Linked DNA regions of Ovis aries. The protein of the gene in region 3 purifies or fractionates together with the protein of the main gene of each other region. This does not show direct contact. Links are inferred from orthologs where the notes say so. Each region holds a gene or a part of one and is shown on either strand. Other genes may lie near its edges.

Region 1 (4,182 bases), on a different chromosome or scaffold from region 3:
AAGCAGTCCAACAAAATACAGAGTAGGACTCCACGAAGCCAAGTCAGTAGGTGGTTTTATTCCCTTTTATTCAAAGGGAACAAGGGACTTCCCTGGTGGTCAGTGGTTAAGACACTGAGCTTCCAATGCAGGGGGAACAGGTGCAATCTCTGATTAGGGAACTAAGATACTTCATGCCACGCTGTGCAGCAGTTTCTTCTCCGTCTTGAGTGATGCTCATCAAGAGGACTGTGCTGGTTCAAGCACCTGCGAAAGTGACTTATGTTGGACATCAATACTGTAGATCGTCCCAGCTCTACTGCACTCAGAGCTCTTGGGCAGCACTGCATAACTTACCTACAACATAGTGAGAGCATCGCTTTTATGTGAAAAGTTCAGTAAGAAAGCAAAACCGAATTTGACCCTGTCATCCAATGTCATCATCTCTTTTGTTTGGGTACTTCCAGGTTGTAAAAGCACGTGCACGTAGTGCCACCTGGTGTTCCTAGGCGGAACTGCAGGACACAGAGCCCACAGGCCTCTGACCGCAGAACCTGAGAGAGGGGGGAGAAAGCCACTTGACAGCCCGCTTCAATCAAACCTAGTAAACTCTCAAGCCCAACTTTCAAATTATTAGTGAAATTTCAAAAAAGCCCCATATGCAGTAAAGTTCACTGTGATTTTTTCTTTAAAAACATTTGGAAATCTATAATCCGTCCATGCACCTAAATGGGCGTAATGTGAGTTATTATTAATACAATACACTTGACCCTTAAACAACATGGGATGAATTGTGTGGGTCCACTTATATGCTGGAACCACCGTGAGTCGTGGGTCGGCAGCTGGTTTGCTAGTATTTCTGCGAATCCCTTGCCCCCGACCTTCAACCGCTGCGCACTGATGAGCATCAGCCCGTGGTTACCCAGCAGTGACCCGGACGCACAGTCGAGTTTGCAGATTGACTGACAGACGTTTGGCCCAGATGTAGGATGAATGATCCAGACTGTTCCGGCCGAAAAAGGAAAGGAACAGATCGCAACGCCCACGCGCATTCTTGGGAGAGGGAGGTGAGGTCCACCGGCGTGGGGTCCGGCCTGTTGCACTCCCTGCAGACCTGCCGTGGTTAGAACCGCACCTGATACATAACAGGTGCTCAACACACCTGAGCTCAACCCCGGCAATAGATGCACGAACCTCCTTCTCTACCCACCGCGCCTGCGCAGGAGCCACGCGTGCGACCATTCCGCGCGCTCTGCGCCTGCACAACGTCTGCGTGCATAACGTCTGTCTGCATAGCGCCTACGCGGCTTCCGGGCCGCTTCGCTGCGCTAGGTTTGAGCCCTGTGAGCCCCGGTAGTACGGCGGCGGCGCCGTCCCGGCCTCCTCTTCGGCGTTCCCACGCCCACTCGGCGGGCTCTCGGCCTCCACGTCAGGGCCGCGCCGCGGAGATGGCGGCTCAGAAGATAAACGAGGGGCTGGAACACCTGGCCAAAGCAGAGAAATAGTGAGTGAGGGGCCCAGCGCGGCCTTGGGCGAGCGCCGGGGTCGGCGCCTCCTAGGCCAGTCTGAGTCAGCACCAGGTGGGGGGCTCTGCCGCGGGGGCGGAGCCGGGCGGACGGGGTGGGGCCGCCGCGCCCCGGAAGCGCTGCCTTCCGCCGCCGGAAGTGGGCGTGCCTTGGGCGGTGGGGGCGCTGCCGGGTCCGAGCGCATCTCTCTGTATCTTCGCGCAGGTGCTCCTGGTTCCTGGCTCTTTGGGCAGTTACCTGGCCCAACTATGTTTTAAAATCTCTAGCTTTTCCCAAGTGTAGCAACAAGATGACTTAACGGATGTGTCTTGTCTTTGGTGGAATTTTAAAAGTTCTGGTGGACAATGGGGCTTCCCAGGTGACTCAGTGGTAAAGAATCCATCTGACAGAGCTGGAGACGCGGTTTCCACCCCTGGGTCAGGAACCCTGGAGAAGGGAATGGCAACCCACTCCGGTATTCTTGCCTGGAGAATCCCAACGACAGAGGAGCCTGGCCGGCTACAGTCCATGGGGTCACAGAGAGTCGGACACGACTGAGTGCGCGCGAGCGCACACACACACACGGTGGAAAATATAATGAGGACTTCGGGGTAGGGATGGGGATTAGAATTTTGCTTTATTGCGATGCTTTCTCAATTTTGTGGATTAGAGTAGACAAGCTGCATTTTAACCGTTTTGTTTTTCTTAGCTTGAGAGTTGTTTACAAATTTGAACCTTACAGTAGAGTTACACAAACATAAACTTTAATTGGCAAATTAAAAGGAACACAAGAAAGGCTGAACGTCTGCAGGCTATAGGGGCTTCCCCCTCTCTCAGTTAAGGTGCCCCCCTGATTCCTTGGCTTTCACTAACTGAATTCAGAATTTAAGATGGTGTTTTATTTAGCAATTCTTATGCACACCCAGTGTTCTTGCCTGGAGAATCCCAGGGACGGGGGAGCCTGGTGGGCTGCCATCTATGGGGTCGCACAGAGTCGGACACGACTGAAGTGACTTAGCAGCAGCAGCAGCAGCAGCATGCATACCTAAGTTTGACAGTCACAGGGTTAGTTTAAGCTGTAAGTCTGAAGTTACAGAAAGCATCAACGGAAAGGACACGGAGATGTGGGCTCAGGATCGATTGGCCTGTGGTCCTGGAGAGCAGCTGCTCTTGTTCTCCAGTCCCGCTCTCCTCCCCATGTTGCCCTGCCCTCTGGTTGCCCTTGCTGTCCACTGCAGCTCATTGCAGACTTCCTGCTGCCGCCCTCTGTCCCTCTGAGGGTTTGTCTTTCTGGCCTCGCTCTGCAGTCTCCTTGGAGGATCTTAACTGGGCGCTGGTGTGGCCTGTGTTGATGGCTCAGGTTATCTGTGCCTCTCCTGAGCTGCAGTCTCAGGAATCCAGCTGCTCACTGCGGTACCTCGACTGTCCCAGGCTTTAGTGCACCTCAGGGCTTGTTACACCCTGGATGCTGCTGATGCTACCCTGTTTCCGGTTCAGCAGGGCTGGGGGAGGCTTAACAATTCATACATTTCTAGCGAGCTAGCAGCAAATACTGGCACTGCTCGTCTGGGGACCAGGCAGTGATTACCTCAACTCTCCTTGGATGTTATGTAGACATTTCAGAAGGGGGAGACCATGTCTGTGACAGTGGGAGGGAAAGTGATGAAGTGTGTCCAGGAACTTTGGATGGAGGTAGACTAATGGGGACTTTCCAGTTGATGGTTCCCCTCTCTCCCTATTTACAGACCTACAAAGTCCTTACAAGCAGGGTTCTGACTTAAGAATGTGGTTGATAACTTCTGTTAACTGTATCTTCCTTTCATTTAGCCTGAAAACTGGTTTTTTGAAATGGAAGCCGGATTATGACAGCGCTGCTTCTGAGTATGGAAAAGCAGGTATCTGTGACAGTTGTCCTGCCTCCTGCAGTGTGTTATGTTGGTCTCAGCATAATTCTCACTCTTAGTGTTTCCTGTAGCATCTTAGTTCTTAGAAAAAACAACCAAAGACCTGCCCAGACCCTGTGCTTTTCTAGGTTCTGTTTGCAGGTGTCTTGAGTGCCGAGTTGCAAACCCGGCTGCGTCCCTCTCCCATGAGGGCAGACTGTGGGGTGGGCGCAGCTGTGGGCTTTTAGCATCATTAGCGTGTTCTTGAAGTGCAGTCAGTTCATACTATATACTTCCAGGAGTTGTCATACTTTTCTCCCAGCTGTTTCTGAATAAAGACTTTTTTGGTTCACTTTGTAAAGCGCGTAAGCCTCATTCTCAGCAGTTGTTTGTGCACAGCGCGTGTTAGCCTCTTGTTCTTTACAGCCTTGGTCAGAGATGTGCTGATAGTTTTTCATCCAACGTTAAGTTTATAGGCATATTTTAATATCTTGGTTTGCATATAAGATAAAAGCAGTCTGAAATTTCCAACAGAAAGAGAACTTATTACAAATTCAGCATTTTCAGTTATGGAATGACAGCTTTCAGCGTATCTGTGATGATTTTGGACATAAAGCATAGTATGATTTTGAAATAGGCTGAACACGTTTTATTGTGTGCTTCTGCGGTGGTTGTGATCACATGTGTTAGCCTTGGGTAGAAATCACCTAAGAAATCTGCTTTTAGCAGACTTTAGTTTTAGTATATCACCAGGAATAAAGAAGTCAGAAAAAATTAAAACTAATTGGCACAATGTAGGATATAGTTTCTAGAGA
Region 2 (4,231 bases), on a different chromosome or scaffold from region 3:
ATGAGACACACACAAGAGTGTAGGTTTTATGCTTCCTCTTTTTACATTCTGTGCCCAGGACTAGCAGGCCAGTATGGTCGGTAACCTTAGACGGCCTTTTGGAGGTAGATCTGGCCATTCTCCTGGTTTGTGATTCCTACAGTTGAGATGAGACCTGGTTGGAAAGAGAACTGTCTCTTCTGGAAACCTAGCTATCTCTCTTGCAGTAGGCAAGAGATTGGGTCTCTTGATTAGGCCTTTGTTGCATGAGTGTAGGTACCTTGCATCCAAACTATATTTTGTAGTTTGAACATTTATACCATCTTTGCAATGGGAATTATTGGAGACTGCCCAACCATTAAAAAAAAAAACAGACCGTCATTTCTCAACTTCATTGAGGTATAACCTCTGCACAATAAAATATGATCAAGACATAGAACTATCTCAAAAAATTCTTGCTTTTTTGCTGTCCATTTCACCCCCATCCCAGTCAATCACTGATTTTGTGTGTGTATGGTTATTCTAGATTAATTTTTTCTCTTCTGAGATTTCATCTGATTCTAAGATGAGGCTTAAATAACCTCTTTTAAGGATCTGGCTTTACTCGGCGTTATGGTCTGAGGTTTACGCATGCTGTTACGTATATCAGGACGTAGTTTCTTTTTAATTGCTGGGTAGTGTCCATTGTATGCCTGTGCCACAGTTTGTTTATCCATTCAACTGTTGGCAGATCTTTGTGTTGTTTCCATTTTTGATTTATGAATAAAGTTGCTGGTGGACATTTGTGTACAGGTCATCATTTTCATTTCTCTTGACTTAAAATCTAGAGATCGATCTACTGGGGCACATTGACCTTTTAAGAAACTGCATCACGTCTTTGCCAGTATTTGGTGCTATCAGCTTTTACATTTTCCTTTGTGTGTGTGTGTGTGTATATGTGTGTGTGTTTCTTTTGAATACCGAAATGGGAAGTCTTTTCTTTTTTTTTTCCAATATAAATTTTGTAAAGGAATTTTAAGGCCTTACGGGATGTCAGGAGATTCATCTATGTGAATAGTTACTAGTCTGAGATGGATAGTGTGAAGGGTATTCTTACAGACTCTCCACAAGATTACTATAGGACATACAAGTTTGACTTATTTCTACCTATCACTTCTAGTCCCGCAGAACTTCAGAATTTTAATGGAAATTATTATTTCAGGAGTCATAGCAGAGTGATTCCATAGGCCTCAAGACAGGTGTTACTGATGGCCTTTCTCACACTGCTTTAGACTAGCTATGTCCAGTGAAACTGTCTGCAGTGATCCCTAATAGCCACGTGTGGCTCTCAGAATGGGACTAGTGCACCTGAAGAACTGAGTGTTAAAATTTTAACTAGTTTTAATTTTAATAATGCGTCTAGTGGTTATTTTATTGCACAGTACATTTCTAAAATGTTATTTTTCAGGAAACACATAGTTGAGCGAGACCTGTTAGTTGAGCTGGCTCTGGAGCAGGTTCACATAGGTTGTCCTACTTCCGTTTCCTGTGGAGGAATTTGTGTCTCTGGAGACATGTAACCTAGGCCTGAAGCACCACAGAGAAGACCAGTGGGTTCATGAGTGTTGCGGTTATTTGTAATGAGGTCTTTTAATCAGGTACTACATGCTTTGGTTTTTTTCTTTTTAATTTTGCCCTACTAATTCTTCAGTAAAAAATAAAGCATATACTTAGAAATCTAATTTTTAAAGCTAATCTTTGGACAAAAGTATGTTATTTAAATTTGAAAACCTGCAGTGTTGTCTGGAGGAGTCCTGGTTACACCCCTCTCCCGTTTTTTTTTTTTTTTGGAAGAGAAGAAGCCAGTTCTCTTCCTATACTTTAAAGGCTCTCACATAAGTAATGATGTCATTAGTTAGTCACGCAGTTGTGTCCGACTCTTTGCAACCCGATGGACTGTAGCTCTCCAGGCTCCTTTGTCCATGGAATTCTCCAAGCAAGAGTATTGAAGTGAGTTGCCATGCCTTTCTCTAGAGGATCTTCCTGACCCAGGAATCAAACCCGGCTCCCATGCATTGCAGGCAGATTCTTTACCATCTGAGCCACCAGGGAAGCTCAATGATATAATTACTTCTGCTAAGGTTTCCTTTAAAGGTTTGTTGAGATTTTCATACTTTTGAGAAGCGATGAATTAATAATTCTTTACATTTCAAGTTATTAAGGAAAACATTTTATAGTCTTTAGACAGTTAAATGTTCTAGTAACTCAAATAGTTAAACTTATAACTAAAATTTCCTGTCAGTTTCAATATGTTCATTTCATAGTAGTTACGTGGACATTGTGGCTGGGCTTTTGTCATTGTTTCCTAGAGGCAAGGTCAGTATTAGAAAAACTGTGGAATTTTCCTTTGCCTTTATTGTGATAAGTAAACAGCGACTATTTATAGGGACTTATATTCTAATGAGAAAATGAGATATCCTGCTTGGCTTGCCATAAAAACACAGATGCTTCTAGATTCCAGTAGGGAGGCCTTTTGCTCATAGCATCTGTTTCAGTTACCCAGCCAGATGACTTCTACAGAGTTTTTCACTCTTTTAAAGGACACCAAATCTTTGGCAAGAAAGCAAGTTCACAAAGGGAAAGGTTAAGTTAGCATTTTGTAAATTTTAAAATAACTTTGGGTGTATCAATTCTGTGTGTTAATTAAATTGTATCAGTTCCTGAATAACCTTGAAATGTCCTTTGCATCCATGTTCTTTGAATTGTTTATTCTGCAGTTGAGGTAGATTGTATTGATCCATACATACTAAGTTCATCTGTTCAACAAATGTCTGATGAGCACTGACTGTATCTAAGCCCTGTCTTAGCCTTGAGAACTGTAGACGCGAACAGGGTACAGTCTCAGTCCTTAAGAGTCTTATGTCTTTCATGCAGTATAAACAGACAGTAAAAAATATTCTTCCATTTGACATTTGTGTTTTCAGGAGGGGAAGGTGTTTAGGAAGGTCTTCTAAAAGATGTAATTCCTGAGCTGAGAGACTGGGACGAGTAGGAGTTGACTAGGCAAGGGGCTCAGAGTTAGGGAAGAGAGGAGAATGTAAGAGAAAGAAGCTTTTGTAGGTGAGAGAGACCCTAGGGCGAGTGGGAAACAAGGTCTGCACATTTTGATCAGGTGGCTGGTCAGACTGTGACTATGGGCAGAAGTACTGTCTCATTTGGAAAGCAGACTTGTGACCTAAACCTTATTTGTGTCATGTTCTAAATTATACCCCAAAGGATTATCCTGCAAACCTTTCAGGTGCGCGTGCCCCACTTCAGAGTCCATTGCTCTGAACGGCTGGGATAGCTGTGTGGAAACTAGCCTTTTAGTTTCAAACAAAAGCAAAGCAGAGTAATTTATTTCCCTCTATAAATTTGTATTTGGAAGACGAATTTACGGAGAATCAGCTTTGGCTTGATGTTTGAAGAATGAGCATGTTAGTCATAAACAGGCTACAAATGTCATATTTCACTAACTAGGAAACCCTAGAGGATGGAGGAAGGATTATTGGTTACATACATTGTATGAAGGAATGTTTTTCTCATAGCTGTTGGCCAAAAGGACAGTTAATTGCCATTTTATATTAAATATACCTGTAATTATTTTTGTTGGGAGATACTTGGAAGATAGCTTTTATTAGTCTACAGGAGATATGGTTCATACTACGTGGGATCTCTTATGAAGAAATGCTTTTTCATGATATACTGTATCAAATTTATATCATTGCATTTTTATCAGTCAGAATCTTTTGTCTTTTGAAGAAATGGAAAACCCAACCCACGTAAGCTTGAGGAAAAGGGGATTTATTGACTCAGCCAACTTTCAGAACTGGTCTCCAGGGCTTTAACTTCTTTGTCGGGTCTGAGTTTCAAGGTGTCGGTCTTTCTCACCTTTGCTTTCTCTGTGATAGTTTTATTCTTTCAGCGCAGAAAGCCCTTCTTCACTTGGTGGTGACACAAGGGAGAGCACCTGTCTTCTAGCTCCTGTCTATGTGAAACCCCATGGATGGATTAGGACTGTGATGATGGCCTGTGTGCTGTGATTGGCAGGCCTGTAGGAGCGCGTGGAATGGGAAAGGAACAGCTTCTGAGAGGCAGGGTTTGCTATTGCCACAGAGGAAGGGGTGCCCGGAGTCAAAAGCATTGTGTTTATTACAAGTAATGGGAAATAGAGAACAGGAAGGCATAACATATTCTTTAAGGATATAAAAGGTGACTTAATTTTGTTTTCCTA
Region 3 (3,500 bases):
ATATTTTAGAATAAAATTTGTGATATTATAAACTCTTCATAAACATCTTTTAATTCCCACATAAAATAACATGAAGTGGATGTAGATAATTTACTTGACTGTTCTTTACTGTTGGATATTAAAGTCATCACTCACTTTTTAAAAGGAAACTACTGTTAAATACAATTTCTTTAAGAACAGTCCCAGGGGAAGTACAATTATCTTAGGAACATGGTAAATGACTAAATGCTATTTGTTTCTAAAAACCCATGCAATACCAGGTTGAGGAGAAATGAGAAGGACCTCATTCACAACATGTGTAAACTGAGGTGAAGACCCGGATAAAGTTCGTAAAATCAGAGTTTCAAATAATATGTAGAAAAATACCACTTTACAGAAAGTAGAACAATTAACCCCTATTTGTTCACAGCAAAATAACCCTCATATGATAAGCCAACTAATTCATACATAAACAGCAGTCCAAGTTGAGCCTCTGTCCATTTTCTGTGGCAACAGTCAACATAAATTATCTGCAAAGTCCTACTTTGTACCTATTACTATCCTAACTGAAACAAATTTCATCTGTTTAGGTTAGAAAATTAGCCTTACCCCAAATTAGGTATCATGCTAGCTTATCGGGATAGCTTTGTAGCTAAGAGGCTTTTATGTCAGTTTATTCAAAGTTTGATGCCTTTTTTGTAGATCTCTCTGCAAAGGAAAATACTAAAAATGGGGCTGGGATGGCAATTACGACTGCCTGCCTCCAGCTTAAGACCAAACAGACGGCTGCAGCTGTTCTCCATGTGTCAGTGACTCTCATGGCCCCTAGAGTCTACAGCAGAGTGACTTTCTTTTGTACCTGCTTTTACCTGATAGTAAGCAGCTCGCTGTAGCTGGTCAGTGGCTCTTTCTACATGCACCTCTGAGCTTTCCACGTTGGCTTCTATGCTGTCTGCAAAAGAGAAGGGCAGAGGATGTTTTACCACAGTCGGATGTTTCAAGACTGCAAACTGAAGAGCATTCTGATGCTAAGGGTCCTGTTCACCATCATCACTCCAACTATCCAGCCATGAGATCAAAAGTTACCAACCCCATAAGAGAACAGCCCTCTTCTTTGGAAATAAACACCAAAGAATTATTTAGAGGTAGAGGGTTATGAAGTATGTAAATCATCCACAACAGTTCAGAAAAAAATCAGGTAAATAAAAACAGTGCAAATAAAAAGCAAATGGGGTAGAATGTTAACAAGAAGTAAATCTAAGTAAAGCTTATAAAGGAGTTCCTTGTTATTTTCATTTTTGCAACTTTTTGTGAACTTGAAATTATTTCCAAATAAAAAGTTTTTTTAAAAAAGGGTTTCAAATCCCATAGTTGTGCAAGTTTCTGGAGATAAAAACTGAGAAGCTGACAGCAATTTCCCTAAACAGCCAAAGACTTAACATGAGGCTACGGCAAGTGAATGGGCTATTCATGGAAGCCTCAGTTTAATTTCCACATTTGACAAGGTAAGAAAATTGCTAAGAAAATGAATTTAGTGATTTTTAAATGGTATTCCTAGATTCCTAAGACACAGCTTACCGACTTCTTTGCATACAAAAACTATCCACTCACCTTTATGTTAAAGGTATCAATAATACATACCAATGATATCACCTTGGTCATGGATCATCATGGCCAAATCTTTAAATATCTGATTGACATCCAAAATATCAGCCTAAGGAACATACACACAAAAAAATTAACCAATATTAAGTAACATGTTGGAAGATTCATTTCCTCTACTTACCTAAAGTTCTGGCTATTAACATAACACATGTGTTTTTAAAGCTTATAAATCATGCTTTCTCTATAAACAGAAAATGAAAATAAAGTTAATTATTAACACTTACTAAGTGACTTCTGTATGCAGAGTACTATGCTGGTAGGTAATTAGAAGCACAGTCTCTTGGAGCCTATCAGTTACAGAGGACTGTTAACCCTTCACAGTCTTGTTCAACCTTAAATTGAGAACTTCTTTGGACCTCCCTACTAAAATGTGGACAATGACAGTACCCATCTCATAGCATTTTCAGAAGTACTAGATAAAAAGTTCTTCAGTTCAGTTCATTTCAGTTCAGTTGCTCAGTCGTGTCTGACTCTTTGCGACCCCATGAATCGCAGCACACCAGGCCTCCCTGTCCATCACCAACTCCCGGAGTTCACTCAGACTCACGTCCATTGAGTCTGTGATGCCATCTAGCCATCTCATCCTCTGTCGTCCCCTTCTCCCCCTGCCCCCAATCCCTCCCAGCATCAGAGTCTTTTCCAATGAGTCAACTCTTCTCATGAGGTGGCCAAAGTACTGGAGCTTCAGCTTTAGCATCATTCCTTCCAAAGAAATCCCAGGGCTGATCTCCTTCAGAATGGACTGGTTGGATCTCCTTGCAGTCCAAGGGACTCTCAAGAGTCTTCTCCAACACCACAGTTCAAAAGCATCAATTCTTCGGTGCTCAGCCTTCTTCACAGTCCAACTCACATCCATACATGACTACTGGAAAAAACACAGTCTTGACTAGATGGACCTTAGTTGGTAAAGTAATGTCTCTGCTTTTGAATATGCTGTCTAGGTTGGTCATAACTTTTCTTCCAAGGAGTAAGCGTCTTTTAATTTCATGGCTGCAGTCACCATCTGCAGTGATTTTGGAGCCCCCCAAAATAAAGTCTGACACTATTTCCACTGTTTCCCTATCTATTTCCCATGAAGTGATGGGACCGGATGCCATGATCTTCATTTTCTGAATGTTGAGCTTTAAGCCAACTTTTTCACTCTCCTCTTTCACTTTCATCAAGAGGCTTTTTAGTTTCTCTTCACTTTCTGCTGTAAGGGTGATGTCATCTGCATATCTGAGGTTATTGATATTTCTCCCGGCAATCTTGATTCCAGTTTGTGCTTCTTCCAGCCCAGCGTTTCTCATGATGTACTCTGCATAGTAGTTAAATAAGCGGGGTGACAATATACAGCCTTGACGTACTCCTTTTCCTATTTGGAACCAGTCTGTTGTTCCATGTCCAGTCCTAACTGTTGCTTCCTGACCTGCATATAGGTTTCTCAAGATGCCGGTCAGGTGGTCTGGTATTCCCATCTCTTTCAGAATTTTCCAGTTTATTGTGATCCACACAGTCAAAGGCTTTGGCATAGTCAATAAAACAGCTGCTGCTGCTGCTGCTGCTGCTAAGTCGCTTCAGTCGTGTCCAACTCTGTGCGACCCCATAGACAGCAACCCACCAGGCTCCCCTGTCCCTGGGATTCTCCAGGCAAGAACACTGGAGTAGGTTGCCATTTCCTTCTCCAATGCATGAAAGTGAAAAGTGAAAGTGAAAAGTGAAAGTGAAAAGTGAAAATGAAGTCGCTCAGTCGTGTCTGACTCTTAGTGACCCCATGGACTGCAGCCTACCAGGCTCCTCCGTCCATGGGATTTTCCAGACAAGAGTACTGGAGTGGGGTACCACTGCCTTCTCCACAATAAAGCAGAAATAGATGT

What was found.
Region 1: the proteins of STX12 (region 3) and NAPG purify together in Homo sapiens (affinity purification with mass spectrometry; 3 studies listed by BioGRID and IntAct, counting the BioPlex papers as one, with this or other methods). This does not show direct contact. The link is inferred for Ovis aries from reciprocal best matches to the Homo sapiens genes STX12 and NAPG.
Region 2: the proteins of STX12 (region 3) and NSF purify together in Homo sapiens (co-immunoprecipitation; 4 studies listed by BioGRID and IntAct, with this or other methods). This does not show direct contact. The link is inferred for Ovis aries from reciprocal best matches to the Homo sapiens genes STX12 and NSF.

Annotation. Positions count from the first base shown.
Region 1 is NC_056076.1:42,687,074-42,691,255, forward strand, and holds the start of NAPG (gamma-soluble NSF attachment protein), read left to right. Parts: upstream 1-1,382; 5' UTR 1,383-1,427; coding exon 1,428-1,483; exon of another isoform or gene 1,484-1,709; intron 1,710-3,311; coding exon 3,312-3,379; intron 3,380-4,182. UniProt on the Homo sapiens protein: Required for vesicular transport between the endoplasmic reticulum and the Golgi apparatus.
Region 2 is NC_056064.1:45,304,005-45,308,235, reverse strand, and holds the start of NSF (vesicle-fusing ATPase), read left to right. Parts: upstream 1-1,431; 5' UTR 1,432-1,598; coding exon 1,599-1,616; intron 1,617-4,231.
Region 3 is NC_056055.1:239,287,288-239,290,787, forward strand, and holds part of STX12 (syntaxin-12), read right to left. Parts: intron 1,694-3,500; coding exon 1,621-1,693; intron 932-1,620; coding exon 849-931; intron 1-848. UniProt on the Homo sapiens protein: SNARE promoting fusion of transport vesicles with target membranes. Together with SNARE STX6, promotes movement of vesicles from endosomes to the cell membrane, and may therefore function in the endocytic recycling pathway.